Linked DNA regions of Rhinolophus ferrumequinum. The protein of the gene in region 3 binds, or shares a complex with, the protein of the main gene of each other region. Links are inferred from orthologs where the notes say so. Each region holds a gene or a part of one and is shown on either strand. Other genes may lie near its edges.

The links.
Region 1: the proteins of cytochrome b-245 heavy chain (region 3) and cytochrome b-245 light chain are in contact, whole or in part, in a cryo-EM structure (PDB 8X2L), measured with the Homo sapiens proteins. The link is inferred for Rhinolophus ferrumequinum from reciprocal best matches to the Homo sapiens genes CYBB and CYBA. Residues at the interface, in NP_000388.2 of Homo sapiens: Thr116, Ile117, Leu120, Phe121, Val123, Glu124, Asn128, Asn133, Lys161, Asn162, Pro163, Gly166, Leu167, Ala170, Val180, Thr183, Leu184, Ile187, Leu188, Thr191, Ser192, Thr194, Lys195, Thr196, Ile197, Arg199, Ser200, Tyr201, Glu203, Val204; in NP_000092.2 of Homo sapiens: Gln3, Ile4, Glu5, Trp6, Met8, Trp9, Glu12, Gln13, Ala16, Ile20, Thr23, Val27, Gly31, Phe33, Thr34, Gln35, Arg56, Arg59, Met65, Gly102, Phe103, Leu104, Leu105, Ala106, Ile108, Leu109, Ala112, Cys113, Ile116.
Region 2: the proteins of cytochrome b-245 heavy chain (region 3) and cytochrome b-245 chaperone 1 are in contact, whole or in part, in a cryo-EM structure (PDB 8KEI), measured with the Homo sapiens proteins. The link is inferred for Rhinolophus ferrumequinum from reciprocal best matches to the Homo sapiens genes CYBB and CYBC1. Residues at the interface, in NP_000388.2 of Homo sapiens: Trp28, Asn74, Leu75, Leu76, Ser77, Phe78, Leu79, Arg80, Gly81, Ser82, Ser83, Ala84, Cys85, Cys86, Trp206, His210, Phe212, Pro266, Met268, Trp270, Lys271, Ile273, Tyr280, Tyr324, Phe326, Lys328, Leu335, Glu336, Trp337, His338; in NP_001028218.1 of Homo sapiens: Arg22, Leu26, Ala37, Ser41, Gly42, Asp43, Trp47, Phe50, Tyr51, Phe57, Gln61, Asn62, Glu64, Lys77, His97, Asp98, Gln99, Val100, Val101, Val102, Leu103, Arg108, Ser111, Glu115, Val117, Arg118, Tyr119, Phe120, Arg129, Ala131.

What each region holds. Positions count from the first base shown.
Region 1 is NC_046298.1:33,292,316-33,302,809, forward strand, and holds the start of cytochrome b-245 light chain, read right to left. Parts: upstream 5,267-10,494; 5' UTR 5,185-5,266; coding exon 5,127-5,184; intron 1-5,126. Other genes in the region: MVD (diphosphomevalonate decarboxylase), read right to left, coding at 7,233-7,313, 7,995-8,103, 9,055-9,170, 9,565-9,783, 10,005-10,079, 10,401-10,494. UniProt on the Homo sapiens protein: Subunit of NADPH oxidase complexes that is required for the NADPH oxidase activity that generates, in various cell types, superoxide from molecular oxygen utilizing NADPH as an electron donor.
Region 2 is NC_046304.1:55,075,332-55,085,825, forward strand, and holds cytochrome b-245 chaperone 1, read right to left. Parts: upstream 6,209-10,494; intron 5,917-6,208; coding exon of another isoform or gene 5,838-5,916; intron 5,261-5,837; coding exon of another isoform or gene 5,243-5,260; 5' UTR 5,219-5,242; coding exon 5,134-5,218; exon of another isoform or gene 5,133-5,133; intron 4,303-5,132; coding exon 4,261-4,302; intron 3,640-4,260; coding exon 3,566-3,639; intron 2,904-3,565; coding exon 2,807-2,903; intron 2,226-2,806; coding exon 2,081-2,225; intron 1,699-2,080; coding exon 1,578-1,698; 3' UTR 564-1,577; downstream 1-563. Other genes in the region: HEXD (hexosaminidase D), read left to right, coding at 1-164; NARF (nuclear prelamin A recognition factor), read left to right, coding at 10,102-10,128. UniProt on the Homo sapiens protein: Functions as a chaperone necessary for a stable expression of the CYBA and CYBB subunits of the cytochrome b-245 heterodimer. Controls the phagocyte respiratory burst and is essential for innate immunity.
Region 3 is NC_046284.1:95,742,597-95,753,090, forward strand, and holds the start of cytochrome b-245 heavy chain, read right to left. Parts: upstream 7,076-10,494; 5' UTR 6,975-7,075; coding exon 6,930-6,974; intron 4,956-6,929; coding exon 4,860-4,955; intron 3,602-4,859; coding exon 3,491-3,601; intron 1-3,490. UniProt on the Homo sapiens protein: Catalytic subunit of the phagocyte NADPH oxidase complex that mediates the transfer of electrons from cytosolic NADPH to O2 to produce the superoxide anion (O2(-)).

The DNA.
Region 1 (10,494 bases), on a different chromosome or scaffold from region 3:
CCTCCTGCTGACTTGATCAAACTTTAATTTTAAAATTCCTCTTTCTGAACCACATGTAGAATGTTTAACTTCAATCTCATCCCCAAATTACTCATTATTATTAATTATTTACAGTCAATAGTCACCAATATCTTCATTCTAGCATCCCATCCTTTCTTCTGGATTCAAGATCCAATTTCCCTCTTCCTGAAGTACATCATTTAGTCGTCCTTTTGATGAGGGTATGTTAGCAGCAACTCTCTGGATATCTGAAAATACTCTCATTCTGAATGATAGCTCATCTGGATATTAAATTCATGTTTTTGTCTGAGCACCAAGGATAATATTCCATTGTCTTCTGGCATCTATTATTGATGATAAGAAGTCTGAAATCAGTCTTAAACTAATCCATTTTTCCCTCTGGTAAATTTGAAGATTTTCAGGGCGGCCGGATGGCTCAGTTGGTTAGAGTGTGAGCTCTGAACAACAAGGTTGTGGATTCCATTCCCACATGGGATGGTGGGCTGTGCCCCCTGTAACTAAAGACTGAAAACGGCGACTGGACTTGGAGCTGAGCTGCGCCCTCCACAACTAGATTGAAGGACGACTTGGAGTTGATGGGCCCTGGAGAAACACTGTTCCCCAATATTCCCCCCCAAAATTTAAAAAATAAGTAAAAGCTTCTGACCCTCGAAATTTCTTTAAAAAACAAAAAATGAAGATTTTCTTTAATGGTCTGTAATTTTATTACAATGTGTCCAAGAAGGGATTTATTTTCCTTTATTTTATAAGGAACTTTCTTTTCTCCTTCAATTTTGGAAATGTTCATTATCCCTTTCACATTGCCTCCCTCCAGTCTATTGATTCTCTTCTCCGGAACCCCCAATATATATATATATGTTGGGTCTTCCTGTACTATTGTCCGACTCAACTTCTTTCAGCTACATTCTGTGAGATTTTCTTAGATTCATCTTCCACTTTAATAATGTTCTTGTCATCTATAGATAGTGTTTAATTCATCCATTAACCGTTAATGACTTTATATTTTTTATTTCTAGACATTCTATATTAGTCATTATTTGCATTGTCCTCTATAATTTTCTACTCCTTTCTCCCCTTGAACATAACCATCTATTTAAACAGGTACACGTATTCTTAAGTCTCTCCCAAAGGGCACTAGTAGTTGTGGTTTGAAGGAGGCACACTTTCCTGTTTAATGGTGCCTGCTTCCTCAAACGGTGGGTATGTTTGTGAGCTGTGCCCAGCAGGATCTGTTTTCTTGTGGCAGACTTGTGTCCTGGTTGAGGAAATGCCCTTACAGAACAGTTTCACATTTGCTTCTATAGGTTTCTCCAGTCCTGAATGGAGTCTATCTGAATTTCTTGGTCAGTGGTCCTTGTAGCACAGGGTAGAGTAGATTCAGCCTTCACCCCATGCATACCATGTTTCCCCGAAAATAAGACCTAGCCGGACAATCAGCTCTAATGTGTCTTTTGGAGCAAAAATTAATATAAGAACCGATCTTATTTTAAAATAAGGTCTTATAGTAAAGACCTATAAGACTTATAGTAACCGGTCTTATAGTAAAATAAGACCGGTTCTTATATAATAAGACCGGGAATATAATATAATATAATATAATATAATATAATATAATATAATATAATATATATAATATACTATAATATAGTATAATATAATATAATTTAATATAAGACCTGGTCTTATATTATAGTAAAATAAGATCTGGTCTTATATTAATTTTTGCTCCAAAAGACGCATTAGAGCTGATTGTCTAGCTAGGTCTTATTTTCGGGGAAACACGGTAGCACAAGCCTGAGCTTCCAGGGGTTTTGCCTTGTTTGTTGCTTTTTTCATCCAGGCCCTGGCAGCGGATGGCTGCTTCCTTGGGGGGGACAGTTTTCTAGTCTGTGTCTTGTACAAGTAGCCTTTCCTGGCTCTAGACTGAGGCATGCTGCTTAGTTTCAGCCCTTTTTCACACAGAGGCTCCAAAATCCCACTGGGTAAAACCCCGAGCATTTGTTGGTCCCAATTCCCTAGGTACCCCTTCCTTCTGCCCCAACCGACCACCTAGAAACCTCACTCCGCTTCTGTTGCCAGCATTATTCCCCACCCTTGGAGTTGAGCTCAGCTATGTATTAACTCTCTTGGGTGTTGTAAGTGAATGTAGGGACGAAGCAGGAGCAGGACAGATAAGGCCTCAGTTCTCGTGGGGCTTATAGTCTCAGGAGGGGACAGAAATAAACATCAGAGATGGTGAACTAGAACAAGAGACTGTGACAGAGATGTCTAGGTGCTCTGGAAAGACTTTTCTAAGCAGGTGACATTTGAACTGAGAAATGAATGGCGGAGCCAGCCATGGATGCTTCAGACAGAAGAAACCGCTTATGCAAAGGTCCTGGGGTATGCCTAGGAAATCTGGGAACAGAGAGGAGGCCTGTGCAGTTGGAATGACAGAGAAGGCAGGGGGACAGGGACAGAGCAGTAAGAATCTGGCTTTTATTCTTCGCAATTGGACCCACTGGAGGGTTTTCAGCAGGAGGGGACATGATCTGATTAGATGGAATTTTCTACAATAAGAAAGAAGCCTGTTGGGCCGGCCCGGTAGCTCAGGCGGTTGGAGCTCCGTGTTCCTAACTCCGAAGGCTGCCAGTTCGATTCCCACATGGGCCAGTGGGCTCTCAACCACAAGGCTGCCAGTTCAGCTCCTCGAATCCCACAAGGGATGGTGGGCTCCACCCCATGCAGCTGGGATTGAACACAGCACCTTGAGCTGAGCTGCCGCTGAGCTCCCGGATGGCCCAGTTGGTTGGAGCCTGTCCTCTCAACCACAAGGTTGCCGGTTCTACTCCCACAAGGGATGGTGTGCTGCGCCCCCTGCAACTAGCAACGGCAACTGGACCTGGAGCTGAGCTGCGCTCTCCACAACTAAGACTGAAGGGACAACTTGACTTGGGAAAAAAGTCCTGGAAGTACACACTGTTCCCCAATAAAGTCCTGTTAAAAATAAATAAATAAATAAAAAAGAACGGCTCAAAGAACGGCTCAACATATGAAAAAAAAAAGAAGCTCAACATATGAGAAAAAAAAAAAGAAGCCTGTTGGAGGCAGCTGCTAGCAGGGTCCAGCCAGGCCTGAGCAGTCTCAGGTGGCTGCAATTTATACTGAATCAGGAAAAAAAGTCAGCAAGAGGAGGAACTCAGAGCAGGAATGGCCCTAGAAGACCTTCCAATAAACTGCCTCATTTGGTGATGGAGGAAACTGAGCTGCAGCTTGTACGTTCTCTAGGTTTGATTTCACTGTCTGTAAAGTAGATGCAGGAACAGCTCCAGCCTCAGACCCTAAGGACATTAGCTAAGGCAAGGAAGGTTCAGCCAGCACACAGTGGGCATGCCATGAACGGGGGTGCTGGGGGTGCTGCACCCAAGGGGACTCAAACCCATGCATCTCAGAGAGCTCCCAGTTTGGTGCCCTCTGTCGCCTTTTACTTCCTGGGGGTTGAGGAGCTGTAAGAGGAAGGGAGGCTGGTCTGCAGCTGTTTAAGGTCTCATGACCTGTGGCAGACAGGGGAACAGCTTGGGGACAACTCTGGGGAGAAGTGAGGAGAACTGGGGCGGACGGGTGGCTCAGTTGGTTAGAGTGCCAGCTCTGGGCAATGGGGCTGCCAGTTCAATTCCCACATGGGCCAGCGAGCTGTACCCTCCACAACTAGAATGAAGTCAATGAGCTGCCGCTCAGCTCCCGGGTGGCCAGAGGGCTCAATTGGTTGGAGCGCGTCCTCTCAACCACAAAGTTGCCAGTTCGACTCCTCAACTCCCACAAGGGATGGTGGGCTGAGCCCCCTGCAACTAACAACGGCAACTGGACCTGGAGCTGAGCTGCGCCCTCCATAACTAAGAAAGGACAACAACCTGACTTGGAAAAGTCCTGGAAGTACACACTGTTCCCCTTCCCCAATAAAATCTTTAAAAAAAAAAAAAAAGTGACAACTATCTAACTCACTGACTTCTCACTCGTTGACTTCTCACCCTAGACGCCAAACTCAAGGGGGTGACCTGCCTGAACAGACCATTGGGCTTCATGACCCAAAACTGCTCACCCCAAAACGTGATCTTACAAAAACGTGATCTTACAGTTCAGCGGCGAGAGAGACTTCATTTACATCTGCTCCCTTCCCTCCCAGAGCTTCACCAGACTCCTGTCCCCCTGGCAGAGGGGCCTCAGGGTGGGTCCCAGGGGAATGCTGGTGGGCTAGGACCCTCCTCATCACTACATTCCCTACTGTCTTTCCACCCACTCATTCCCACTGGGTGCAGGTCCTTCCTGGAAGTGGCAGGTCCCCAGAGGCGGGCAGAACCTCTGGGCAGCTTCCTCTTGCCTCAGACTCTGCCTGGGCCCAGTCTCACCATCCCTGAGAGGTTCCACTTCCAAGTACAGCACAGGGGTGCAGACCCCACTGTGTTTTCACCAGAGCTCCTGAACACAGGCTCAGCGTGACTGAGGAGGCCTGCCATCCTTCCCCAGAAGCAGTCTCTGATAGTTGGGCTGGGAGAGGTCCCTCTGGGCTGTTTTAGATGTCCTGTGAAGGCTCAGGGCGGGGGAGGGAGCCCGTCGCGACCCCTGGGGTGAAGCCCCACTCCAGGGCAGGAGGAACAGCAGGAGCGGGTGGTCCTGCCAGGTTTCCCCAATCCTGGAGGGTGGTAACTCCCCGGAAAGCACCCGGGGTGAAGGCCTCTTCCCCTAGGGCTGCAACTTCCTCTATCGGTGGTGTGAGGTCCTGGTGGGGTGGAGGGGGTGAAAAGGGGACAGTGGAAAGGGGGAGGGGACGGGGGCGCGGGTATCTGCGGGGACAGGAGGGTCTCCAGACCGCCTCCCTAGCCCGAGGTCTCCCACTGCCGGGCAGCCCCAGGCCCACTTCCCCGCCACGCAGCTGCAGGTTTCCGCATAAGTCTTGGGGACCCTCACCCCCAGGCTTCAGCTCCCGCCTCGCGGCCCGCAGCCGAGTCTCTGACTCGTCAGGACCCTGGCTCCCCGGCCCCGTGGCCGGCCCACCCGGTCCCTCGGCCTGCAGCCCGGGGTCTCGGCGTTGCCGGCCCGCCCCGCGGGCCAAGCCCGGGCTCACTCACTCAGGCCCGACGCCAGCGCCTGCTCGTTAGCCCACATGGCCCACTCGATCTGCCCCATGGCGACCCGCAGCGCGGTTCGGCTTGGCTCCGCTGGGACACTGAGCCCCGCGCGCCAGCCACCTCCCAGCCCGAAGTTCCGGCTCCACCCCCACCCTGTCCCCTAGTTCCTCGGGTGCAGCCCCGCCCCGCCCCGAGTTCCGGTCCCGCTCCCAAGTGACGGGCCTGGACAGCAGGGGCCCGAGGCTATGGCGGTGCTCCGGAGGTCTGCCCCGCACAACAGAATTTTTGCTTGAGGGTCGGAGGGGCCCCCTGCCTCACTTCCCCGGGGCAAACAGCGGCCCCCACCCACTTGGTGCCAGGCACCTCTCCTGTCAGCTCCCAGCCTGGTCAACCTGGGACATCCTGAGCATCGCTTGGGGGTCTTGGACATAGGCAGAGAGGGGACCAATGAGATGGACACCTGCCTCAGAAGGCAAAGTGCCCTCATAATGCTGGGCTCTCTTAGGTGCTTACAGAGGACAGTGAGCAGGCCAGGTTCCCAGAAGGGTTTAAAGGTCCAGCGATTTCACCATGCCCACTGCGGGGTCGGGGGAACTCCCCTCAAGGGAGAAGGACCTCAGACCAGGAGTCAGAGCCTGGGGAACCCCTCCCTGGAAGTCAGTGCCCAATAGGAAGGTCAGTGGCAGGCCCAGCGCCTACTTCCTCATCTGGCCCTGGGCTAGTGCAAGTATGGTGAGCAGCCCTGTCCACAGGACTAACTTAGGGGAAGGAAACAGGGTGTACAAAGCTCCTGGGAAAACCCAGAATGTCAGAGTGCTGGCCCTGTCCCTTTGTCATCTCCCTCCTCTGCCCACCCAGCAGCGGTAGCAGCTGACTCTCCGGGGGAGAGGCAGGAAACCAGGAGGTAGGTCAATAGGTGTACATGTCCACTCTCCTCTTCCTCTAAGCCAACTGTGCTGAAGCTGGGAAAGTGGAGAGGAGGTCGATGACCTGCACACAATGGAAAAACCCATTTAGAAGTGCAAGCAATTCCTGGGCTCCAGAACCCATAAGCTTCTGGGCTGAGGGGAACCCTCCTGAATCAGTGCTCCTCCCTGCAAAGCTGCTTCCCACTTTCTTTCATGGACTGGGAGCTTAAAGCCGGCCCAAACCATGTCCCCAGGCCTGTCAGAGCCATAGCCACTGAGTGTGGCTTGTGGCCCTGGGGGGTGGCTGTGTGCTGAACACCCACCACAGGGCTGGGCAATGAGGGGACCTTGGGAGAAGGCAGCTTCTTCAGGAGCAAGTTAGCAAATGCGCGAGTTCTAAGTTCTCTGCTCCTGCAGGAGGCTCGCAGCCCGCACCCTCCCCACCCCTCCCGCTGAGCGCTGCCCACGGCCTACACAGCAACACTGCTTAGACAGAAGCACGCCAGGCCCAATCAGCAACGCTGGCTTTATTCTCCGTGGTCTGTTGACAGGGCTCCCTGTGACAACGCACCATGGTGCTGCTCTCCCACCTCCCATTGGAGACAACTCCTGGTCTTTTTATGAAGAAACGTTACGTCCACACCCAGTGGCCTGAGCTCTGGCAGAGGAGCTGGGACAACTGTCATGTTCAAAGCACTTTATGGAGGGCTCTGGAGCCTGCAGAGGCAGCTCCCTGCAGTGACTGGTCCTCCAGCTCCACAGAGGGATGCCAACTCCCCATCATCTCCGGTGGCCCAGCTCCTGTTTCAGTCAGTGCGAGTGGCTCCAGGGCTCAGGGCCAGAGATCCTTCAGGGAGACACACCAGCAGCTCACCACCATCAGCTCGGTCCCCCAGGTCCCACATCTGACCCCAGCCCTCATCTCAGCACAGTATTGGTGCAGGTGGGGAAGGTGAGGCACTTGGTGGGGGGCCCGTTCCTGACCACCTGGCGCCTGCAAGTGGTCACTCCACTGCCCCTATTCAGCCCCGGCATACTGCCTGGCCTGGGGCGAGGTGGCCACCCACCAGCCCCAAAAAGCATAGTACAGGCACCGCCACAAGCAGCTCCCCAGTCCCAGCAAAGTGGAAAGTGGCCCCTTCTCCCAGCAAAGCGGCCCTTCTCCAAGCAGCGGCCAAGGCTCCTGTCGAGAAACTGGTCAAGCAGCTGGCTTTGGCAGGCCATCGGGGCCCAGGAGGTGAGCGAGAGGATCATCCAGGATTTGAGGCCCGGGCCCCACCTGGCAGGTAGAGAAATCAGTGTCAGGTTGGGATGACAGGGAGGGACAGGTATACCCCCCAACTCCCAGGTAAGGGCAGGTCAGAAGCTGACCACCCGTGTGGTGACACCCTGGCCCTGTGCCCAACTTCCTCAGACAGAGCTACATGGTCTCTCGGCCTCTATCACCCAGACTCAATGAAAGGTAGAGACCGGGGCCTGGGCACCTGAGGGCATGGGGACTTGGAATCGACGATCTGAGTGAAATCCCGGCTCGGCCACTCTGAGCAGGGACCCAGATCTGGTTCCAGTGGGCGAGCCCTGAGGGTCCTTGGACCCGTCGCACCTGTCTCCTGGAGTCTTACATTCCCAGCCTCACCTGCCCCCCTCAGCACTGGGAATGCTGCCCCAAACCTCACAGCATGTCTTAAAATGTTCCTGCTGAGAGCGAGTGAGTGAAACAAACCATAGTGGACCAGATGCCTTGAAAACAGAAGTGTGGTACTCCTCCTCCTTTTGCTGTTATTCTTAGCAACCTGGCTACCCAGCCCAGATGAAGTGGGGCTGAAGGGGAGTCCCTTCACCGGGTAGACGTGCCAGGTCTGAGTCCTCAAGGCCTGTGTGCCGGATGGGGCCCTCCCCAGGTGTGCTGGGCCGCAGGGACCCCTGGGCCCTGGGGCTGAGGGCTGGTGCCAGGCCTCACCTGAGTAGCAATGATGTATCTGATGCCGCCAGGGGTGGGTTCCATGTCCAGCGCAGCTTTAAGCTCGTCTGAGAGCAGGGCAGGCCTCACGGGCAGCCCTTTCAGAAACCTGGGGAAAGGAAGGCATGAGTGTGCTGTGAGTCCACTGATGGGAAGAACGTAGGACACGCAGACCCAAGAGACAGGAAGGGGTGTGACTGCCGTGGAGTCACAAAATTCTGGAGCCAGATAGAAATGCTAGTTGCAAAACACTGAATGTACTTAATCCTGCTGAAGTGTACACTTTAAAGTGGTTAAAATCATCAACTTTATGTGTATGTGTGCTTTACCGCACACACAAAAAAACTAAGCAGGAATAACCAAGGACCTGGCTGGGGTCACTGTGAAGAGGAGGGTTTCCAGAAACCTCCCGGAGGTTTTAAGTTCATCCCTGGCCTGGGGTTACTGCTCCACCCAGTAGGGTAACACAACTTAAGAAGAAAATGCCTCAGGTCAAGCAAGAGTCCATTACCATGTTCCTCAGAACAGGAAAAGCTGCACACTACTCACTGCGGTGACAAGGCCAATGAGAGCAGAGCTTCCAACGAGGGCACCAGCGGCCTCGGGGGCCATCATGGTAGTGTGGTCTGTTCTACTTGGTAAGGAAGTTAGTATTCCGGCCTCCCACTCACTAGACGTCAGTACTACCCCAATTACGGAGACAGAGAAAATGACCCCGCACGCTTCCAACACCCCTACAGGAAGGTGTCCCCACACTGAGAAAGGACCATTAAAACAACGGGTAGGAAGAAATCCAAATGCTCCGTCCCCATAGTGGGGCCCTGAGTACTGTCCACATAGGAGCCATGACGCTGCATGTGCCCGTCTCTGTGACCACGGGGCTGGGGTGTATGAGGAAGACGAGTCCATGGTCACAGCAAGGCATACTAGTGACACACAGCCTGTGGTCCCCTGCGGGACTCCCCATTCAGCAGCAGCCTTAGGTGCAGCTGTCCCGAGCTCAGCAGGAGACCCTGCTCCTCCCTCCAAGGCCTCCCAAATGGGGGGACCCACAACTCACTTGTCTCCATTTGACTCAGGGGGGAAGCTGTGCCTCACAGCGGCCACAAACTCGGCCACAGTGTCGTCCAGGGTAAAGATCACGGCATTGGGGCCCGCGTCAAACGTGTACGCCACCTGGAACCCAAGCAGTCAACATCATCGCCTGAACAGTGGCTCCACCCCTCTCAGGCCCTCTCATCTGCCATGGAGACCCGGGAGCTCCCACAGTGCCCACAGGGCCAACCGCGAGTGGAGTGGTGGCACCTCTGCCCGCCAACTAAGGATGTGGCGGGGAGGCAGTCCCCCACACCAGTGCTTTAGAGTTTGGGCTGCGATCCCTTAGTGGGTCAGGCAACCAAAATGAAACAGTGAAACGGAAACTGTCAGCGCCCTGCACACAGGGGTGTAAAGCAGGTTCTGTGAAGCTTTGTCACAGCCAAGCGTGTGCTGGGATACGACATGGTGTTACTGAGCTCACTGCGTCAAGCCCACTCCACGGGTTTCCAGGGCCGCCCCGGCCCCGCCTTGCCTTGGTCTGCCCATGGTGGGTGTTGAAACAGTGCACCAGGTGGATGATGCGCCTGGACACGTCGTTGAGGTAAGAGATGGGCGGGAAGGTGTCCAGGCAGGTGGCGTGGAACTGGTTGCTGTCTTTCATGGTCAGCTGGCCAAAGCCCTGGAAGTCCCTCTCTTTGATGTAGCGGGTCATCTCTGCCATGCGAGCTGGCACCACCGCCTCGGCCCGGAACTGCAAGGCATAGGCGTTTCCCAATGAGGCACTGGCGGCTTCACAGCATAGCAGCCAGAGCACAGGCTCTGGGTCAGCACCCGCCAAAGTCTCAGCATCCATGCACATGTCCAGCAGAGCAGATGAGCTCAGCTTCGGAGGACATGGGTAGAGTCTGGCGTGTGTCCTGACATGCAGGTCATGTCCTGGCGAGATGGCATCTGTCCCAGCACTGGCCTTACCCTGAGCAAGGCGCTGGTCTCCACACTGGTCTGCATGCCCACTGTGCTGCTAGTTGGCTTCTTCTCAGCGCTCACCTGAGATGAGGGAAAGACAGCCTGGACCTCATCCTAAACACCCATCCCGTCCCTCCCTTCTTCAGCTGCTGCAGACAGCAGGGTGGGAGCCAGTGCCTCCTGACCATGGAGACCTCCTGACAAAGGCAGAGATGACACAGGTCTGGCAATGGCAACATCTAGACCAGTAGCCCCCTTGCCACGTTGGAGTCATTCCTGAATGCTCCACCAAGAGTCGTTTTTCTCTCCCCCACAGCGAGCTCAAGAAGCAGGTCTCTTCTCCCTCCTCCCGCCCCCAGCTCGGCCCAAGAGGACCCCTTGCTCCCCAGTGGTCTCACTTACCACAAGGATGAGGGCTCGGAGCTCGGGCCAGTGCAACTCGGAGGCCACCTGCCGGGCAATGCTGTCCTTCCCGTCGGCCTGCTCCCCCATCTGC
Region 2 (10,494 bases), on a different chromosome or scaffold from region 3:
CCCTGCGTCGCGTCTTCTACCCTGACGCTGTGGAGGAGTGGCTAGAGGAGAACGTGCAGCCCAGTCTGCAGCAGCTGCAGCAGCTGCTGCAGGACCTCGGCGAGGCGGCTGGCCCCGGGCCCCCCCTGGCCAGCCCGGGTCCGGACACAGGTCAGGACCCCTGAGCGGAGGGGGCCTGCCACACCCTTGTCCAACCACGTTGGGCTTGATTCCTGAGTCCTGGATGGCCGTGCAGAGACGGCGCCTACGGTGCACGTGGTTATCGTGGGGAGAGGAAGGTGGAAAACACGGAAGGAAATGCACGTGGGGCCCCGTTCACTGGTCTGGCAGAGAACGTTAATGCTTTTGAAATAAAAAGGAAAGTAGAAGCTCCAAGTCACGCTGAAGGAATTGGCCAACCTCATTATGCCGCTGGCTCAGGCTGGTGGCAGTCAGGCCTTTGCAGCGGCCCCAGCACAGGGTCCAAAACAAGCCAGCCCAGGTGAGCGTGGGGTTGGCAGGCCGACCCCTACCCCTCCTCAGGGCATCTCTCAGCCCTCCACACGAACGTACCAGAACCCAAGTACAGCATTTCACTCTTTATTTTAGGGAAAAAGCATTTCAGATTTGGCCATTGAAAAACCTAAGTGGGCAGCTTTAAATGACTGTTCCCAAACTAAGGGCTGGCTGCCGAGAAGAGAAGATGCCAGCAACTGCTGTCCTTACTGTCCCCCAGACAGCTGCAGCCCTGATTTGGGCGATCCCCGGTTTCCTGAGCTCTCCCCGGCAGTTCCCAGATGCAGCTTTGAAGCTTCTTCTCTCGGGGTCCAGCTTGCATGGGCACAGCCCACTTCCTGCCACATACCAACAAGCCCAACTGCCAGGTCTTCCCAGGGTTGAGAGAAGCTGGGACTCTGATTTCTAAGGGCGAGGTCCTGGTTTGAATGCATGACGCTGGACAAGATAACCTCTTTTCTTGCCAAGTAGCCTTGGCCTGGGCTGAGGGGAGGGAGGGGCTGCTCCCCGTGATAGCCCAGCTGTAGTCCTGCTTGGATACGAGATGAGCCACCTTGGTACAGAGCGGTTTGCAGCAACCAGAAGAGCCCCACAGTGTCCACAGGCAAGCACTTGTGACTACTGGGGACGTCTGGACAGGAGAAGGATGCTGTGTGGGGCCGGTCGGAGAAGACGCTGGGATCCCAGGAACACGCTGGCCTCCGTGTCTGCAGAGCCTGACCCAGCCGCTGGCCCCACGCTGGCCTGCTGAAGCACCACTGTAACCTGCGCGCTGGATCCCCGTGGGACGTGAGCTGGCAAACCTCCCCACTCCAGTGCTCCATCTCGGCAGGAATGCTGGCCCCAGCCCTGTCACACCGACACTGTTCAGGCACTGTGTTTCCAGGAGGCCTATGCCCTTCCTGCACCCGTTGGAGGCTGCAGAGAAGGTCCAGCTGTGGTTTTGCTCAGAGGGCAGATCAAGCAGCAGAATGCCTCCCTGGGGCTGCCAGGGACTCAGTCGGGTGAGGAGGGAGATGGGCAGGTGGCCCATCAGGCCTGCCGAAGTGCTGTCAGAACCAAGGCCAGGGGCTCCAGGGGGGTCAGCTCTGGCTCTCAGGGCCGTCGGCCTCGCTGTCGCTGCTCTGAGACAGCTCCATGGGACTCTCAAGGCGGTGCAGCTCCAGGAAGGTGGCAATGAGCATGGCGATGGCTTCCACGTCACTGGGCCGGGCCAGCACCGAGAAGAAGGGCTGGTTGCCACACTAAGAAGTGCCAGCACCACCAGGGCTCCCCACCAGGACCCAGCACCTTCCGTCCTGGCCCCTACCCTCACCTGACCCCAGCCTAGCCCTTGTCCTGTAGGGACCCCTGAGGCCCCCATCCCCTGTCCCGTCATCATGGGGAACCCTGGCATCCCTATCCCCTGCTGTCCCTGTGGTGACCCCCGACACCCCCTAGCGGTGATGGCAGGCCTGTCCCCAGCCGCCTCTCCCCGTGCCCCACTGGGCTGCCCCACGGTACTGCATGGTCTGTTGTGAGGACCACCCGACAGGGTGACCCAGCTGAGCAGCCCTGGCCCATCACACTGGCCGCCTCGGCTTACCTGCGGTGGCCCATGACAGCGCTCTGGGTGAGGGGGTGGGAGAAGCCCGTCGCAAAGCGCAGCATCACCACGTAGCCTTTCCCAAAGTACCGCACCTTCTCTTCCTCCACGTTCACGTCCCGGATGTCATTCAACAGGACCACCACTGCGGTGGGGACAGGTCAGGTGCATGGCAGCAGCAGCACCCCCCCATGTGCTGGGCATGGTCACTTCAGGGGCCTCTGCAGAGGACCGCATCATGCTGGCTACTCTGCAGAAAGCGCTGGTCACTGTCTGAGTTCCAGCCTCAGAACACAGCCGAGACGCTGACCTGGGATGTCACAGGTCAGTGACCAGTGCAGGGCCACACCGCTGCCGGTTAATGTCCTCTGGGTGAGAAGGAATGTTTGCTGGACCCATCGTGGCCTTGAGAAGCCTGCCTGTCATCTCATGAGCAGTCTGACACATCAGGGGGCAGTTCAGCACGATACTGCCTGTCTTGCTGCTTCCTTTCCCCAACTGCTGTAAATGCTTTCCTGGACCCTAGTGTCTGGTCAACGAGCTGGGGGCCGCCTGGCAATAGCCTTCAGGCCAGGGTGCATCTAGGGGCACCCCATGTCTGTGAGGTGGTCCACAACCCCGTTCACCAAGTGTTTCCAGGCCTCCGGCCCGGTCCCAGCCATCACACACGTTCGCTGCCCTCCATCCAGCTCGCAGTACCCAGTGTCCCTTTTGATCCCCACAAACCTTGGTCATGGCCGACTCTGGAAAGAGTCAGCAGCTTCTTATACAAGCTAAACGTCTTCAGCACGACCTTCCCAGTGCTCTTGTCAAAGACAGCTTCCTGGAAAACCCCCAGAAGGGTCGTCACCCGGCTGCTGACCTCTGTCATGAGCCGACTGCACACCAACCTCCAGGGAGGGGGCCTGAGCTCGCTGACTGTCCCACCCTCGCCAGAGCAGGCACTGAAGAAGGGGGCACCCCTTTTCCTTCCCATCCCAGTAACCCTGATGCCCCAAGTGCTGCCCTGCCAAAGCCAAACACCTGCAGCCTGACCCTAGGACTCCAGACAGTTCAGGGAGCACAGCAGGCCGGGGGTAAAGAGAGCGGGACACCAAGGCAGGTGCTCTCTCCTTTTTGCCAGCAAAAGTAGAATGGCCAAGATCATCAAACAAGGGAATGGGGGCCAGGCAGCTCAAAGGACTCAGGAAGGGAGTAAGGAGGAGGGGACTGGCCTCCAAGGCAGCAGGCTGGCACCTCGTTTCATTCCGTGCTACAACACTCAGGAGGAAAGTGGGTAAAACAGTCATGAAGAGCTTCGAGGAGAAAAATAGCTTCAGACGATTCCTTGGCCCAGGAAGTCACGGACAGCCAACACCCAGGGGCTGAGCCCAGCTAACCAGAAACCCCTGCGCTAGCGTCTCAGGATGGGGCACCAGGCCTGGACCTGCCTGCCTGCAGAGTCTCACTGCAGCAAACCCGAGCTGAAACCGGTGCCGGCCTTACCTCCCACTCCTCCAGGTTCTGTACGGCCACGAACAGGCAGCCCGTGACATAGAAGAGCTTCCAGCCCAGACTATCTGGAGGGTAATCACAGGGCACAGCCAGTGAGGGAGGATGGCAGTAGAGGGGCAGAGGCCAATCTGCCCACAGGGTACCCCCCAGCACAGCTGCTTTCCCAGACAGGGCAGGGGTGGCATCTGGGGGTCCCCACCCAGGGCAGCTGCCTGGCCTTGCTGGCCCTGCCTGTCACTCAGGACCATGTGGGACACATCCCAGCGGCTCTTCCCTCAGCTCTTCTGGGTCTGGGTGTTTACTCAAGTGGTCGGATCTTGCCGGTCATGGCATGGTTTGTGATGATGGAGAAGTGGGGACACTCATGGGGAGTGGCTGACGGCATGGTGCGTCCCTGCAATAGAACCCTAAGCAGATTCAAGAGAGCGCCTTTTCGAAGGATAATTTTTGACACAAGAAAATGCCCGAGATGTAAGAAGTTAACGGCGCAGGCTGCAAGGGACGTGGGCATTAGGAAGAAGACCCGTGCACGGGGTAGTGCACCAAGGTGGTGCAGTGCCCATGGACCACCAGGGGGCGGCGGTGAGGGCTGCCGAAGCTAGGCCTTGGATCACAAGCCATGGGCTTGCCTTTTCTATTTTCTGAAGAGCTGAGGAAGTTCCTGGGGGGCAGATGGTGCATCTCACCTGCACTGTAGTAGGCAGCAGCCAGGCCAATCGACAATATTCCTGCGAAGAGAAAGCGGGTGCCTTCCTATTGGGCCCCCACCAGCGAGAGCCCACCTCCTCCCCACTGTCAACAATGGCTGTGGGCGGGGAGCAGGGCAGAGAAGACCACCAGATTCAGAAGTGGGGGAACAGCCAGGAAGTTCATTCAGAAACATGGCATATGCTGTTCATAGTATTCACTGGACATGTCCGTCCATGCGAGCCTCCAGAGCTGACTGGGGAACAAGACAGGGGCCTGAGGTGGGTTTTACCCACGTGGTGTGGAATGAAGACAGGAGGGTAGCAAAGAATCACAACACGAGAAACAGGCAGGAGGTCACATGCAGGGTCATGGGAGAGAAAGACCAGAGACAGGCTACTGAAGGCACAGCAGCCTCTCCTCACACCTCCAGTCCAGTCCACACAATGCAGCTGCCTGGCAGGTGCAGGACCCTCCGATTGAGTGGCGGAGATGGAGGCCAGGGCAGCCTCCCCCACTTACTCCTCACTGAGGAAGAGGAAAAACGGACGCACTGTCGCCCATCACGTGGGCCTGTGACATAAATCACAGACACCTGCGACCAGGTGTATGGAAGCAAGTGAAACAGGAAACATGGGTATAGGGACCTCAGAAGAGCACACAGCGTTAACGGAAGGATGTTAGGTGGTGAAAAAGACGATAGACATACATCATCTATAACATCTATGCACATAAGATAAAATTTGCAAGAATACAAAGTAAAATAGTTACTATATTTTGCGATAGTAAAACAAGGGAAAAAATTCCGTTTAATTTTCATCCTTCTTTAAAGGCAGGTTTTTTTATTTGGGGGAAAATATGGAAATCCTCACCAACTAGCAGAGACCAGGATCTGATGCCCGGAGCCCTCTTCAAATGAAGGCAGGAGCTGGTACGCGTCTCCACCTGCATGTACATCCCTGGACCGTGTGGGCACCACTCTCAACAGGAGACCAGGAGCTGGGGAGGGCAGACACAGACAGCTGGACCCCTGCAGTCACTGCCCACTGACAAGCGTCTGGCTCACCAGGGCAGGAAGCCGGGGCTGGCCCACCAGCAAGGCCAGTACAGCCTGGGTAACCAGTCAGCTTGTGCTGACCGCAGTCTCTGTGGCCACCAAGCACATCACTTAATCCCCCAGGGACTGGTTCTCTGTAAGTTAGGCCCTTCTCTACTGAGTTATACTGACTGCACTGGGCTACTTCCTGCTCAGACTTGCAAACCGTCATCAAGCACTCGATCATTACCTGCCCCATGACCTGGGACTGGAAACGTCAGTCTCAGAAACCGTTAGCCCGCTGCAGCCTTCAAGCTGCCGGCACTGTACCAGAGCCCAGCAGAATTCCCTCATTTTCCTGTGCTGGCCTCCGCCAAAAAGGGGAACTGCAAGTCTCCTCATGGTTTGAGTCTGTTCTGGCATGGACACAAAAAGCCTGCTCCAGGGTCTCCTCCAGCTGCTGAGACAACAGCCTGCACAGTCGGGGCCCGCAGGTCTAAAAGCATGGGCTGCAGCAGTGAGTCCCCCAAGGGAGCTGACCTTGCACTCACCCTGCAGACCAGTACAGTCAAGACGCTGGCCCCCGGGACCCGGCTCTGAGTCGCTGCCCAGATATTCTCTGCAAAGTGAAATCAAATTAGCGGATTTAGTTCTCACACAAGAATCCTGCATCTTGGCACATCACTGGGCTCCCTCGCTTACGTCATTCATCTGTCTCCACGCGCGTCTGGGCTGCCCGCGCAGCAAGGTCACTGGCCTGAGCGAGGGCCGCCAGCCTGCCGCCCAACCCCTGCAGCCCCCCGGCCGCGGCCTCACCGGCCGACGCGGATGCGTCCCGAGCCCGCAGTCCCGAGAACGGGATCTGCAACCCCCAATGCCCACCGCGATGGCGACCACTGCCAGTCGCCTACCGAAAACGCAGACCGGCGGACGCAGCAGGGGAGGCCTGGGTCCGCTGACTTCCAGGGTTGGGGGCGGGCCGACTGACTTCCGGACCCGCGGGGCAGGGTGAGGGCTGACTTCCGGGGTTGGAGGCGGGTCGTCTGACTTCCGCACCCGCAGGGTGGGGAGGGACGGCGGTGACTTCCGGACTTGTGGGGCGGGGCGACGCTGACTTCCGGTTTGGGGCGGGACCGCAGACTCCTGGAATAGGAGCTGGGTGTGGTGCTGGTTCAGCAGTCGTGAGGACGGCGTATCCTCCGAGTGGTTGGACTCCAGCGGAGGGAATGTAGGAAAGGGGATGCGACAGCGCTGACTTTGGGATTGGGGGCGACCCTGACTTCCGGCCTCCCATTTAACCACCCCAACGTGGTAGAGTGAAAAATGATCCCGGAACAGCCCTGGCTTTGTTGCAGAGCAAGTGGAGCCAGCAAATGCAATCAGAGAGCAAGTGGTCTGTGCAGTGGCGGCCGCGGGTTGTGGAGGCCCCCTCCCTGTCCTGAGAACGTCTGGGGTAACTGAACCCTTAGAAGGTCTGTCATTTATACCTAAAAACGCCGTTTAAAATGGCCAGGAAAATATGAAGCATTTAAAGTTAATCTAACAACAGATGTGTGCAAATTTATGGTAAAAATTGTTTAAAAGTTGCCTTTACTATTTCCAACCAGATGAAGGAAACGGACCCTACCTGGAACAGGAGAGCCTCCACCGCACAGCCATGGCCTACTTCAGTGGTCTCCAAAGTGGGATGAGCAAGATCTGTGAGATACTGGAAGAAGATACTAGAGCTTGCGTTCCTATTTATTTTTCTTTCAATATCTATTTTTACATGTTTTGTAATTTACATAGTTTAATACAATAGTGTATAATATTGCCTCATAAAAAATATACATACATCAGTATGTATAATCCTAGCAGTTTTACCAATATACGGACACGATAAAAATTTTGGAGACAACTTTTCTCCTTTACCAGTCGACTTCGGATACTCTCTGCCTGTGGTTCCTAACCCTAAACGTGCCTCAGAATCACCTGGTGGGCTTGTTGAAATACAGACTGCTGGGCCCTATTCCCAGAAGTGGGTGGGACCTGTAAACTTAGATGTTGCTGATACTTCTGGTCCAGGAATCACACCTTGAGAACCTCTGCTGTAAGCTGCAGCAATACTGGGCTCTGCCTGAACACGGTAGGTTCTCTCAGCTCACATTCTGCTTTGTTGAAACGGCCCTCCCTCTGTTAAGATTCTACATCATCTTGAAGGTCCATTTAAATTGTTGGTAACTCCTTAAGTCTTTACTGTTTGCTGCAGCTGGAAGTGATCTTACTTCTCTGAATTTAGGTAGAACTGAGTTGATACCCATAAAATTCTACTTTGCATTACAGTTATTTGTATAATTTCATGTTTCCTACTAGGTTATAAACCATTTAAAGATGAAGGCTACGCTAGCGTTCTGCAAATATTAAATGAGTGAACAAATAATACCTGATTTGGTTAAAATCCTGCTGAATATTGGTAATGGCAAAAGACTGGAAGTAAATACAATGTCCCTAAGTGGGGGAACTGAGTGAATAAAATCTGTATACTGTGCCAATTATCAACGCATTATATCTCAGGTCTAAATTCCAGACTTCATTGCCTGCTCTGTGAAAATGGATCTGAGCCCTTGATTTTTTATTTTATTTTTATTTTTTGGTGCTCTCTAGTGTGATGTTAAGCTTTGTCAATAGAGGGTGATGGATAGACACTGCAGGAAGAAGACCTTTTCTTCTTGGTTCTTGGAGAAAAGACTGATTTCGGATCTGAAGCAAAAAATGAACAAGGAAATGTATCAAAAAGCAGAGAGACTATTAGTGTCTTATTAGAAGAACTTCAGAGCCTAACTGAAGAGATTCTCATTGCTGAAAAAAGATAAGTATTTGAGCAACAATAAGCATAATTAGAATGAATTGAAAATACTCATGTATTTAAGTACATCATTCATCATAATGGAATTTTTTTGTTCACTTTTGAAAGATGATGAGAAACAAACTTGGTCTTTTTGACCAGTTAATGAAGGAAAAGAATCAAGCATTTATCCTGCCTTTCTTTATAAACTTTACAACGGAGAAACCAAACAGTGGAGAAGAATTTCTCATTATAGAAGTATTCCCTCTAATAAATGAAGAACAAATGGTAGGATTTAAATATCACCCTAATGGATGGATGGGTGGGTGGATTAATCGAGCTAGGCAATTTCATCAATGGCTGGTAATTAACATCACAAAAAGTAGAAACTCCTCATGGAATTACACAACTGGCATCTATGAAGTAGTCTTGCCAAAAAAAAAAAAAAAAAATTTAACCTAGGATCAAGCCACTAGAACGTTCCAATTACCCTTTACTGTAAATTCAGAGGGCAAAGGTATACTAAAGGACTCCAGGAGGATGCAGTCAGTAATTGCAAGAAACCCTAGGTGAACAATCTGATTTCTTGAATGGAACCTACACATGTAAAACAAAACAAAGATACAGACTTAAGACACAGATTTCTCTGTACTATCTGCACCTTCTAAGTGATCCTCAAGTTATTTCAGAACAAAACGACTTTTTTTTTAAAAAAAGAGAGACTTAAGAAATACAAAAACAAATTGTAATATAGACTATTAGAACATATTGGACCTTGTTTAGATCCCAATTTAAACTAAAAAAAAGAATTTGATTGGGGAAACCTGGACACTATATTTTTGATTAAATTAAGTAAGTGTAATTTGCTTTTTTCACACATGATAATAGTATTGTTTGTTTCAAAATCATTAACAAAAATATGTACAATGATAACCTAAACTTACCCTCTTGTGCTGAAAATTGAAGGAAGGTGTTTTCTGAGCAGTGCTGACATGGATTTGAACAATGCAGAACGTTAATCTGGCAGCCAGTTAATACCTGAATTCAATTTGTAAAAAGCTGTATTAACCAAAAATTCTGTAAATAAAAAAAAAATTAATGGGTAAAAAATTAAAAGACCCTGGTTAGGTTTCTGGGACCTGGAATACCCTCACATATTTTGTGTTGATCTCTGTGACTGCAAAGTTTCTGGGATTCCTGAGGACGCCTGGTGTTTGATAAAGACACACACAAGTTGCTTTTCTTACTCTTAACTCTAACAAGCATGCTCCCATTTCTAATTGTCCTGTGTGACTATGCACTGGTTTTATAAAATGTGTATCACGAAGACTCCATTTTCATTTAGCCCTGCACAGTGGTATCATTTCTTGGAGAAACAATATTCTTTGTAAGGTGTAAGGGCCGAATCCCCAATGCGCCTGCTATGACGCAGACCAGACACCAGTATTCAGCAGCGCACACTTCACACCATCCTCGTGCTCGGGCGGACCACGTGCTGCCAAAGTACCGCCGCGCGTGCGCACTGCCGCGTCGCCGGCCTACGTGATGCGCCTCGGGGAGGCAATGGCGGCAGGCCGGGGCCGCGCCTTCTCCTCTCCTCGCTGGGGCGGCGCCGTCTCCGCCGGGCCAGCACCAGAAGAGAGGTGCGTGACCGGCGCGGAGCTGACGTCCCCCAGGGCCGCGGTACAAACACGTCTCACTGCCTCCGACACTAGCTCACTCCGCGCCGCCGCGCGAAAAGTGGCCCAGACCTCCGGGGCGTCCGAATGAGGCGGGCCGCGCTCCGCCCCCGCACGCTCCGATTGGGTCCAAGGCCGGGCCCGCCCCTCTTCGGCTCCCTTATTGGCGGGGCGGAGCCGCTGGGTGGGGCCGCGCCGGGGGCGAAGACAACAAAGGGCGGCGAGCGGCTGGCGGCGGTGACCGAGTTTCCCGGTGCTTCCCTCAGGTCACGCACCCCGGCCCTCGCCTACCCCGCTCCAGATGAAGTGTGAGCACTGCACGCGGAAGGTGGGCCCCGGGCGCTCCGGCTGGGGCCCGACGGTCGGTCCGGCAGGGGGTCGGGCAGGGGGTCGGCCCCCCGGGGTCGCGGGACTGGAGGCTGAGTGAGGGTCAGGGCGTCGGGGCTGCTCGCTGACCGGCCCTGGAGCCCCTGTCCTCAGAGCGGGCGGCTCGGCGAGCTTGGGCGGGGGCGCGCTGGCGGCCGCTCGCCCGCGGTCCCGGACTGGCCGCTGCGAGGGCCTGGGCCTCCGCGTCACTTCGCCGACCGCCCTCGGGGGTCAGACTCGGGCAGTCGCTGTCTACCAGTCCGTCCGGCCGGCGGGTGGGTGGACGAGGGCGGTGGATGGCTCGGAACTCCGAGCAGCCCGTGGTGTG
Region 3 (10,494 bases):
TTGCAAGGGAGATTATTGAGTCATCTCGGCAGATTTCTATGCTTTATGCACACTGCAAGAGAAAAAAATCAAAAAATTGAGAAATGGAACTAAAGAGAAGTGCATACTTAATGGGGTAGAGCATGAGTTTCTGTAAGTTACAGAAACTTAAAAGTTCTATGTTAGGTACACCTGGTCTCATCACACATATCGTGAGTGAATCTGAGTTAGATATTTATATGCTATTCGGGAGGAATTGCAAAAGCCAGCCTTGAAACTACAGAACTCCGGGGAAGAAGCTTCCAGTAATGCCCAGACCTCGTAGCAGTAGAATCTGTGATAAATGTGAAGAACGCTACTTTATTTGTATAGCATTGTTTATAATTGTGAAATTACATGTTTATTCTCTATCTCCTTCATAAAACTCTAAGCTTCTTGAGCTCATGGTCCATCCATGTTTTTTTACTCCATGTTTTACACGTACTCACCATGTATCCCCAGTGCTTAGCACATAGCTGGCACTCAATAAATATTTGTTGACCTCACTTAGTTGACAGGCTTAATCAACTAATGTCAGAATGTCATATTCATTCTTACATTTGCGTTAACTCACTTGCTTTTCAGCTAAAAATAAATAAATAAATAAATAAATAAAAAGAACTGTGAGACAGGAAGTCCAAGAGACTTGCCCTAGACCACATGATTAGAGAGAGCCACCATGAGGGCAGCCGATTCTCAGACTATATAAGGTTACAGATAAGAGCTCACTCTCTCACCTTCCCGTTTCTTTCAGATTTTAAGACTAGAACTTCCGTCCTGTTAGAACTTAGTTTCTGCATGGCAAGTTGGGCCTCATCCTTCCCCATTTCCCTCAACACAGCAGGCTGAGTCTTTACCCTTATCTTTCCTGGGGTGGGTCAACCCTGTGGTTTTCTTTCTCTAGGTAACCAGAAGGATTATAAAGTGAAGTCTAAATGATTAAAACCACTGGAAACTGAATGGAAGTTTTGTGACTGTTTAGTTTACATAGGCTCCTACTAATGAATCCTTGAAGTTACAACATCATTGCCATTTCCAGCCTGGGTTATTCAGCATGTTCAAACATTCACACATATAATGGACTTTCTAAGACCATAACACCGGAATAGGACAGTTTTGAGTTTATGTGGCATGTAGGAAAGTAAATGGAGTCCAGGGGCACGATGACCTAGGTTTGAATCCTAACACTCCCATTTAATTTCATCCTTACTTCACTAGCTTGAGACACAGATTTCATGAGGTGAGGTCTATGAAGACTCAGTAAGTAGCAGCTACTATGATTTCCGACATGAGTCACAACACGCTCACTAATTTTCATCCCAATCAGAAAATAAGTTTCATTTGCTAAGTTCACATTTGAGGCTAGGAAATTCGGAAGGAGGGACACATGCTATGTGTCAAAGACTGTTGCTTGCTGCTAATTAAAAAAAATACATTCTTTTCTATATAGGTCTCTGTGGTTACAGAGCTGACCCTCTCTGCAATTTGAAGAGCAGCCTCATTTCATCCCTATCTTTAGAAACACTCATGAGGATTTTCCCTCCTGGACCACAGGAAGTCTAAAAGTGGCCATTACAGCATGCACTGCTCATGGGGCATGCAGCTCAACGGCAGTGCAATTGGGCTTGTGGGGTAACAGGATTTCCTAACGGGCCATCCTGGTGAAAACACTGCCTGTTTGTCAGGGCTTACTTCCTCTAAAAACACGCTATTCGAACAGGGAGGGAGAATAAAAATGAATCGTGACTCCTTAAAAACAAAAAGCTATAGTGCATGAACTTCATTTAGCAAATGTTCACTGTGTACCTACTGTATACCAAACATTGTACTTTATAGATGGCTCATCAATAAAACGTTCAAGCAAATGGAATTTGACCTCTGTGGTTTCTTAGGTTGAGGAGATTATCTGGAAATCCTTATAATCAATGTCTACTGTTAGTTGTAGCCTGCTAATCCTGTATTAGTAAATTGAATGCTGTATAGTTCTTAAAGAAAAAACAAATTTTCCTTGGGATCAATGTGAATTTAGTATGACTAAGAAAAATGAGGCAGAGTTCAAGGTAAATTCTACTTGTTATTGACAGTTTAGACCACTTTCCTTCCCCCAAAATATTCTGTGATTGCCAAATTAGGTATCAACTCCTCAGCTATACATTCGAAGTCCTAGTTTACCAGTAAAGTCCCAGCTTCCTCTCCACCCTTACCCCAGACATCTGCCCTTTTTACAGTCCCTATATTCTCATCAAAGTAGATTGTTTGCTGCTCTCCTCTAGAAATGATCTCTAATTCATAGGGTTTTTTTTTTAAGTTAGTTAATATAAAAAACATTTATTAAAAGAAAAAAACAGAGGCTACTAGTCACTAATAAGCCAGTGGAATGGGTCCCACCAGGGCGTCAATCCTTAACTTTGGAAGATCTACCCCCTTAGGTGTGGTCAGGAATGGCAAAAAAAAAAAAAAAAGAAAAAAGAAAAAAAAGTCCAAAGAGAAGCCAGAAGTCATGTTTACGCAGGGCTTTTAAGAATACGACTCCCTCACCATTTCCTGTGCTTTTTTTTTGCCCATGCCATTTTCTCCAGGTAGAAAGTCTTTCTCTCTCATTTACATCTCCTAGAGGCTTATTTTATCTTTATATGCCCATGTTTGATGCCATCTTCTCCAAGAAGCCTTTCTTCACCTCTTGCCCCACCTGATGTAATTTCCCCCTCCTTTGATTCCCTGTAGCTCCTTATTTGTAACGTTTTATGGGACCCATTTATTTGAGTACGTGTGTAGACTCTAAGTTCCTTGTTTCTCATCTTTGTATATTAATATCTGTAAGAAATTTGTATACCACTTTATAGATTACAGAAGTTCTTCCTACATAATCTCATAATCTTTTTCTTCTAGCATAGTACATTCAGAAACTCATGAAATTGCTGAAGTGAAGGTGAAAGAAGTCCTGGGCATTTAGAAAGCTCTGAATCTCTCAGTTCCCCAGACCCAACACCTCTTAATTGCATTCATTATGGTGTGACTCATCGCCCATTGATTCCATCTGCTTGGGATATGATCCACAAAAGAGATTTTTTTCTGACTTAAAAATTTTGAGAAACATGATAGTGTAAGATTAATTCCCAAATTTCACATCAGCTTCATAAAGCCCTTTGTATATACATATACCTATACTTTATGTTATATATGTCTGTGTGTGTGCATACACACACGTGCTTTATTGCTTTTATTGAGGTAGAAGTTGATTGGTGGTTGTTTGTTGTTTGAATGTCTGTTCCAGGTTAAATGGTTGTCCCAGGAAGCTCCATCAACAAATAATATAGAAATAAACTATAGATCAGGCATGGCTTAGCTCATGAACATTCTACAGAGGTTAGAATCTTCACAAACCATTGGTTTCCTTTTCTTAGGAAAGGGCATTTAGCTTAATGGCCTTGAAATTTTGAGGAACTCAAACATTGTAAATGTTTGCCCTTACCGCACTGGAACCCCTGAGGAAGGAGAGCAGATTTCGACAGACGGGCAGCAGGATCAGCATGCAGTTGAAATTCAGGCAGGCTGCAGGGGCCCTGGCCAACGCCAGTGCTGACTAGAAGAGGCAGGAGAGGGAGTAGGGTGACACCTGTAAGCACAGAACACTTCCCCCAATTCCCCAGAGTTCCCAACATGCAGCCTACATATCAAGAGACATCAAGTTATCTGGAAAGGAAGGGTCTTCTGAGCCAAAGGTTTACTTTTAGGGCCTGCTGGTACCCTTTGTTTTAATCTGGCCCTTACCCCCCACCCCAACATTTTATTATGAACATTTTCAAACATAAAGAGAATTTGAAATCATTTCACAATGAATACCTGTTTACCCATTTCCCAGATTCCATCTTTTACATTTTACTACGCTTGCTTTATCACATATCTATCCATCTATCTACCCATCCCTCCATCAACACATCTTAGTTTTGATGCTTTTCAAAGTAAATTGCAGATATCAGTTCACTTCCTCCTAAATACTTAAGCATGCATATCATTAACTGGAGTTCAGTATAGAAACTGGGGCTTTTTAAAGCTTTTCTTAGCACTTAGACTAACCTCAACAGTAACTTAAGTTGGTATGGTGTAATGCTTTGGAGTTGTAATTGTTCTTTAAAATACCCAAAGAAGTTGTATATATTGGAGAGGGAAAGCAAAAGGAAATCATCCTTCTCAGCATCAACCTGAATAAGTTAACAACAACCATAATAATGTAGTATGATGATCTAATTATTTATACATATGATGTATAATACATATTATAATTAGATTTATTCAGTAATGAATTCACGGTTTCAGCATGAGGTAGTAAACAATATCTTCAAGGGACAGATGAAATTATTTTCATCTGTAATGAAGAAGAAGAGACCTGGCAGTTCAATGAAACTGGAATTTCCTGAAGATCATTTCATAACATGTCACTAGGAGCGGGGCTCTCCATGCACAAAAGTGGTAGGAATCAGATGATTTACAGAATATGGAAAGTCCCACTTGTCCCACCTGTGTTACCCCTGGATGGATCTCTTCAACCTAGTCTTCCATTCCAGAGCTATTATTAGATGCCTCCTCTAAGCTAAACGTTTCTCCAGTGGTTTTTGGGAAGAGAGGGATGTTGCTGTGACCCTCTGCCACACTTTTGTTTGTCCCACACTGGAAAGCCTAAAGACTCCTCCCCAAGGGGTTGTAATGGAGGGAGTGAGGCTGATGGTGCTGTTCAGGTTGGTCAGAATATTTATTGAAAATGTTAAAAGGAATATGAACGTGAATTTTTGATTAAAAAATGTGAGCTAGTCAATATTGCATGACATGGAACTTATACTTACCCCAAGAAGTTTTCGAGTGTAAAAGAATTTCGGTGGATCATCATAAACCTTGTAGTACCAGACAAAGAGGAAGACGTTCAACCCCAGCCATACCAGCTGCACAAAGAGAAACAGTTGCATGAAGTTTTCACATTTAAACAGGTACATTTCACACAATGTTGGTGTCAGACCAGGGTCAGGAGTTTCCCAACTCCAGCCTTTGATACGGGTGCTTACAAAACTGGTTATAACCATTTTAGAGCCAGCTCTTTCCCAGGCAGCATTGTTATATTTCCTTGTTATTAACCTTTCCACCCCATGTTGTTCCCCATTATTGTTTTACCAGTTGGTCAGTATGCTGAGTTATTATCAGTCTAATTTCCCTCCTTTCTTTCTCCTCCTCTTTTCTTTCTAACCTTAGATAGAGAGACGATAGTAGGTGACTCTTTCTAAAAAGACAAGGGAATGGAACACGTTGCTATGTTGTCCCTTGCTCCAGTAGGACACTGTGTTCTACTCTCACAGGTGCCGATAAACTTCCTCCACCACACACACAGCATCCCACCCAGCTAGTGGGGGTCTCATCAGCTAAACAGTCAAGCCTTTAATTGTATTTGATAACTTTTGCTTAACTTTTGAAGGAGGGGATATTGAGCATGAATGAGGGGGTGAAAGTCATAGGATTTTTTTTAATTGCTTGTTTCATCTGAAGCACTGACTGCATCAATCGATGATACTGCCCAGTCCTCTACGTTCAGCTCCATAGTGATCTTTTTTCTTAACTATGTGTTGAAGCACTAAATGTCCATAGACACTTGAGAACAGTCTCTCTTTAAAAAGAAGGCACTAAAACAACTTGTCTGTTTCCTAATCTTGTCTTTTTTACTCTTGCTTTTCAAGTGGTGCCTTCATTTTGAATTGAATATATGAGTATGTAATTAGAAGGTCATTTCCTGGGGAAAATTGTGGTAGGATCTAAAAGTATAATTTGAACTTGTTTTCTACAGGAGTTATCTGTTCTTCAAATGGTGATAAGAAATCAAGTTAATAGTTCTGACTCCTCAGAAGAATTCTATATTGCATTTAAATGTTGCTTTGGCATAATTTTTTTACATGACAAAATATTTGTTGCTTTAATTATGTTTGTGCCACTAATTTCTCTGTATCTCGAAAACTCAAAGACTGAATATTTACTTCATGATTAATTCTTTCAAAAGTTCCTTTTATAAGAGTTCTGTTTAACCTCTGTATAATGCTTTCATTGGATATTTGAAAAGGATAGTTATAAATCACATTTCTATCTTCCCAATTATCCATGATTGCTTTGCTGAGACCACCATCATAAAATAATAGTTGATATTTGTTATGTTAAAAACTAAATAAACTAATGTGTTTATTTGAAAATTAGCCATATCTTTACTTACAAAAATTATTTCTCAAGATATATTATATTGATTTATATATATAATCACATATAATATATATACTGTATATGAGTCTAGATATCTAATTTCAATTCCCTTCCCTTGATTTTTTTATAAACTTTACAAATAACTCAAATTACCTCAGAGAAAAGAAGATACTTAAAAAAAAAAAACCACAGTTGAGAAGTTCAATTATTTTTGGTGTAATTACTGAAATAAAGGCCAATTTCCCGCACATGAACCAGTCTTGTACTTATTCCTTGGAAAATGGCATAAAATTTTGATTGCCCATTTTTAAAGTGGTATAAACACACAAAAAGTAGAAATTTGTCTCAGAGCAAATATTAATAAACAACTCAGACTCAGGAATCATTATCATGAAATGTCTTCTACTCCCTCTGTGAAATGCTGGCTAATTTAGTACTCCTAAAAACTCAAAAAATAAACTAGGTGAAGTGAGCCCCCAGTTACATTCTTTCCAATACTAACTTTGAAAGAATGGACTCAGTCTGCTTACAAATGCATGCATGTTCACACAGTAAATCAGTTTCAACACAATTTGTCAAATAAACAAAACAAACAAACAAAAAAGTTTTTTTCTATTTTAGTTCCCAAAAGAACCCAGACAAGTCAGAGGATTCATAATGTATCTCTCATTGGTACTTACAATGACAAAGATGGAGAGTCCCTCATTCACAGCCCAGTTCCCCATGGTGGCAGAGGTACAGTGTCTTGTGTCTGCCTTTCTTCTCTGCTATGCTTCTTCCTCCCATGAGGAAATGAAAATAGCGCCTTGGGGCAATCTGTTTCCTTTTCTACTATCAGGAAATTTCTAATCATTGGTCAACTGAAAAGCTTATATTCATAAAAAATTTCAATCTTTAAACCACAAACTACAGAGAAAGGGTCTGTAATGATCCAATCACAACCGAACATAGTGAAAAATGAATGAAACTAATTTTTACAACTGAGTGACAAGTAACAGTGTAATTCATGGGATGTATTTTACACAGTGAATTAAAGTTTTCTTGAAGTTGTGGTTATCCTTTCTTTTTAAATGTGTTCTCAGTCTTTTTTATTAGCATATTTTATTACATTAATATAAAGTGAATTAACTTATCAACTAGAAATTTTTTAAAAGTCACCCAACTAGACAAGACTTTATGCTGGGTGAAAAACATTAAGTAGGTGTGATATTTTTTGATAGGCTAGAGCAGCTTTTTCAGCCTTGTTGAGAAAAATAATAACAATGGTGATGGTTAATATTTATAGAATGTCTATGTTGTGCTAATTTTCTAAGCTACGTATGTATGTATGTACATACACACGTATACATATATATGCACACACAAATATATGTGCATATGAGTTGATAAATATATGCGTGTGTGTACACACAATGACACACACATATACAAATTCAGTATATGTAATTCATTTGATTCTAACAATTCAACCTGTATAACATAGGTTCTATTATTATGACTACATTTACAGATGAGGAAACTGAGACCCAGAGCAGTTAAGGTACTTGGCCAAGGTCACGCAGTTAGGAAATAGTGGAGCTGGGATTTGAAACCCAAGCAGTTTGGCTATACTTTTAACCATGATACCAGAAACAAAAAAGCCTGAGTGTGCCCACCCCATCCAAAATCACTCCAAAGGCTCCATATGTATAGGAAATAAAAATATAACAATATACTAAAATGTTGGGATGACTATAGCATTCCCAGGCAGACATGGCATTCTCTAGGCTAGGAACAAAGGTCAGAAACAGGGTCAGAACAAAGGTAGGTCAGGTGTGGTAGATGCCAAAAGCCAGATTTAGCATTTTTTTCCCTGACTACTAGTCAGTCGTCAGGACATGAAAGGGACAGGAGAGCAGGATGGCAACCCCACTATGAGATCAAAGTTGACTAATTGCACAAGGGTTATTCCCTAGAGAGGTAAAAGAAGAAATTGGAGGAACAGAAGTGAATGAGAGAAGAAAAAAGAGGAGAGGCATGAATTCTTTTGGTTGTTGTGTATAAACAACTTGTGACAGCCTCCAGAATGATGACGATTAGTAAAGTAACATTATTTTTCTCTTTTTAGTATTTAAAGAAAGATACTCAACGGTGACCTTCTCCATTGTTCTTGGACCTTATGTAACCCACATAAAGGGCCATTGGCTTCATGGTTCCATTCCACGCAGAGATGAATTCAAAGAAACACAGACAATCAAAACACGTGACAGTTATTTGCCTCTCTGCTCTGAGATGTAATCCCCACCCTCCCCTTGCTCGGCTCTGTTTTGGAGAGAAGTATGTTTGCCAGGCTCCTTGGCCACTCTGGTTTCTGGTATGTTCAACCAAATCGGAGAATGAGGAGCAGGAAAGAAGCCAGAGTGTTTCTTCCCTGCCTTTCTGCTTCAAGTGGCATCTCTGAAGTGACTGCATTTTCACTGAGGCTCCAGCTCCCACCAATCTGGCTTTCCCTCTGTGGCAGGAGCTCCTGCTGGCCACTGCCACTGTAGTTCTAGTTCCTTCCAGGTGGTCCTGGCTTGGTCCTGGTATTAGTCACACCACCACCTCCCAGTTTCTCCACACCTCTGAGGATTGTAACCACTTTCTGTAGGTGTGAATACTGATGATGCCTCTACACCCATGGTGGGATTCCCTGATTGCCCATCATCCATGTAATACATTCCTGGTGTGAAATTCCCTCTGTTGAAATATGGTGCTTTCTGTTTTTCTGACTGCACTTTGACTGATACAAAAAGTAATTCAGACCTGTACTTATTTTCGCATGTAATTGAAGAAGTGAGGCATAGGTGCCTAATGAGGGATAAAACACCTTCAAAACCTGCTCTATCTAGGGCACTCTCAAATTCTCCCATAGGAATGCCTACTGCTCCATCGAGCTCTTTGAAGTTTATCAAAGTCTTCTTTCTACTTCTTCCCCCTTTTCTCTTTCCCAGACTACTGGTCCATCCTCCCTTAGTCTACCTAGATCTTCAAGTCTCTCCCACATGTTTTTATCCACTTCCTGATGCCTGTGCTCTGCTGGAGAAGCAATGGGAAGGGGACCACGAATACTCATATGCGAAGCAGTCATATTCCTTGTTTCACATAAACCTATTTCTTGAACATTTTCCAATTCCCTTCCCCAACCTCCACAATTGGAGAAAAAAATATTTATAAAAAAGACTTTCTTCCATGGGTAATCAACCATTCCCTCCTATTGCTTTTTTTTCTCCTTTATGCAAATCATCACAAGGAGGTGAGCAGAGATTTTTTGGGTCTTGAGAACCGAAATCAGTCTCACAGCTGGAGTGAAAGAGATCAGTTTCAATGAAGAGTAAACTCTTCCTTTTATGGCAAGTATGTTCCCTTCTGAGAACAGTGTTCTAGTAAACTGTAATGTGCATTGCTCTTGGAAAGACAGGCAGAGAGTTTGATCAAGGAGCAACAGGTATTGGTTGACTGGTATTGACTGGACATGAAGAGTGAAGAAAATTGAGCCTCTATGCATTAGCCAACAGTTTATCTCCCCAGCCACTTTGGCTTCTGTTGTCGCCTAAGCAGTTAGTGTCAAGCTAGACTGTGGTGAACGTAAGGAAGTTCTCACAACTTCCAAGAGGCAGTAAGGACCAGTACCCTCAGGCATATGATTGAAATCCTAATACTTTTGGCTGAGAAAAAAAGAGAAAAGCAGACCCAAGTCTCCAGGAAATTCCCGGAAATTTCCTTTGCATCCTGAGTATAATTCCTTCTTGATTTCTCAAACTGAAAAATTAGGCTCCTAATTTATTCCAAGAAAAGTGTGTGAAATTGCTGAAGAAACGGAGGTGTGTTACTACACTAAGATTCCCAATGAGACTTGTTCCCGCTGATGATGAAAACTGGATTTCTGTTCCTTTCATCTCCGCTGTTCTTTCCGGAATTGCCAGGCTGCCACTCTATATGCCTCTGTGAGTTATGTGGCCCCACTCTCCTTGCCTAAGGATGACCGGTAAAAAGACTTCATCTCCCTGGACACACTGATTGTCCCAGGGGTGGGCACTTGACCCTACCAAGGCCAATTGGAGTTACTTGCATGCGGAGGGAGTTGTTGGGGACTCTGGAGGAGAGAGGGTGAAGGCTTTCTCTCTTTGTCAATGATGTGTGCCTGCTGCTGCCATACATAATCTCTACTACCTTCTGCTAAGAAGCTGTATAAGAATTATGTCAACACAAATGAAATCTGATTAC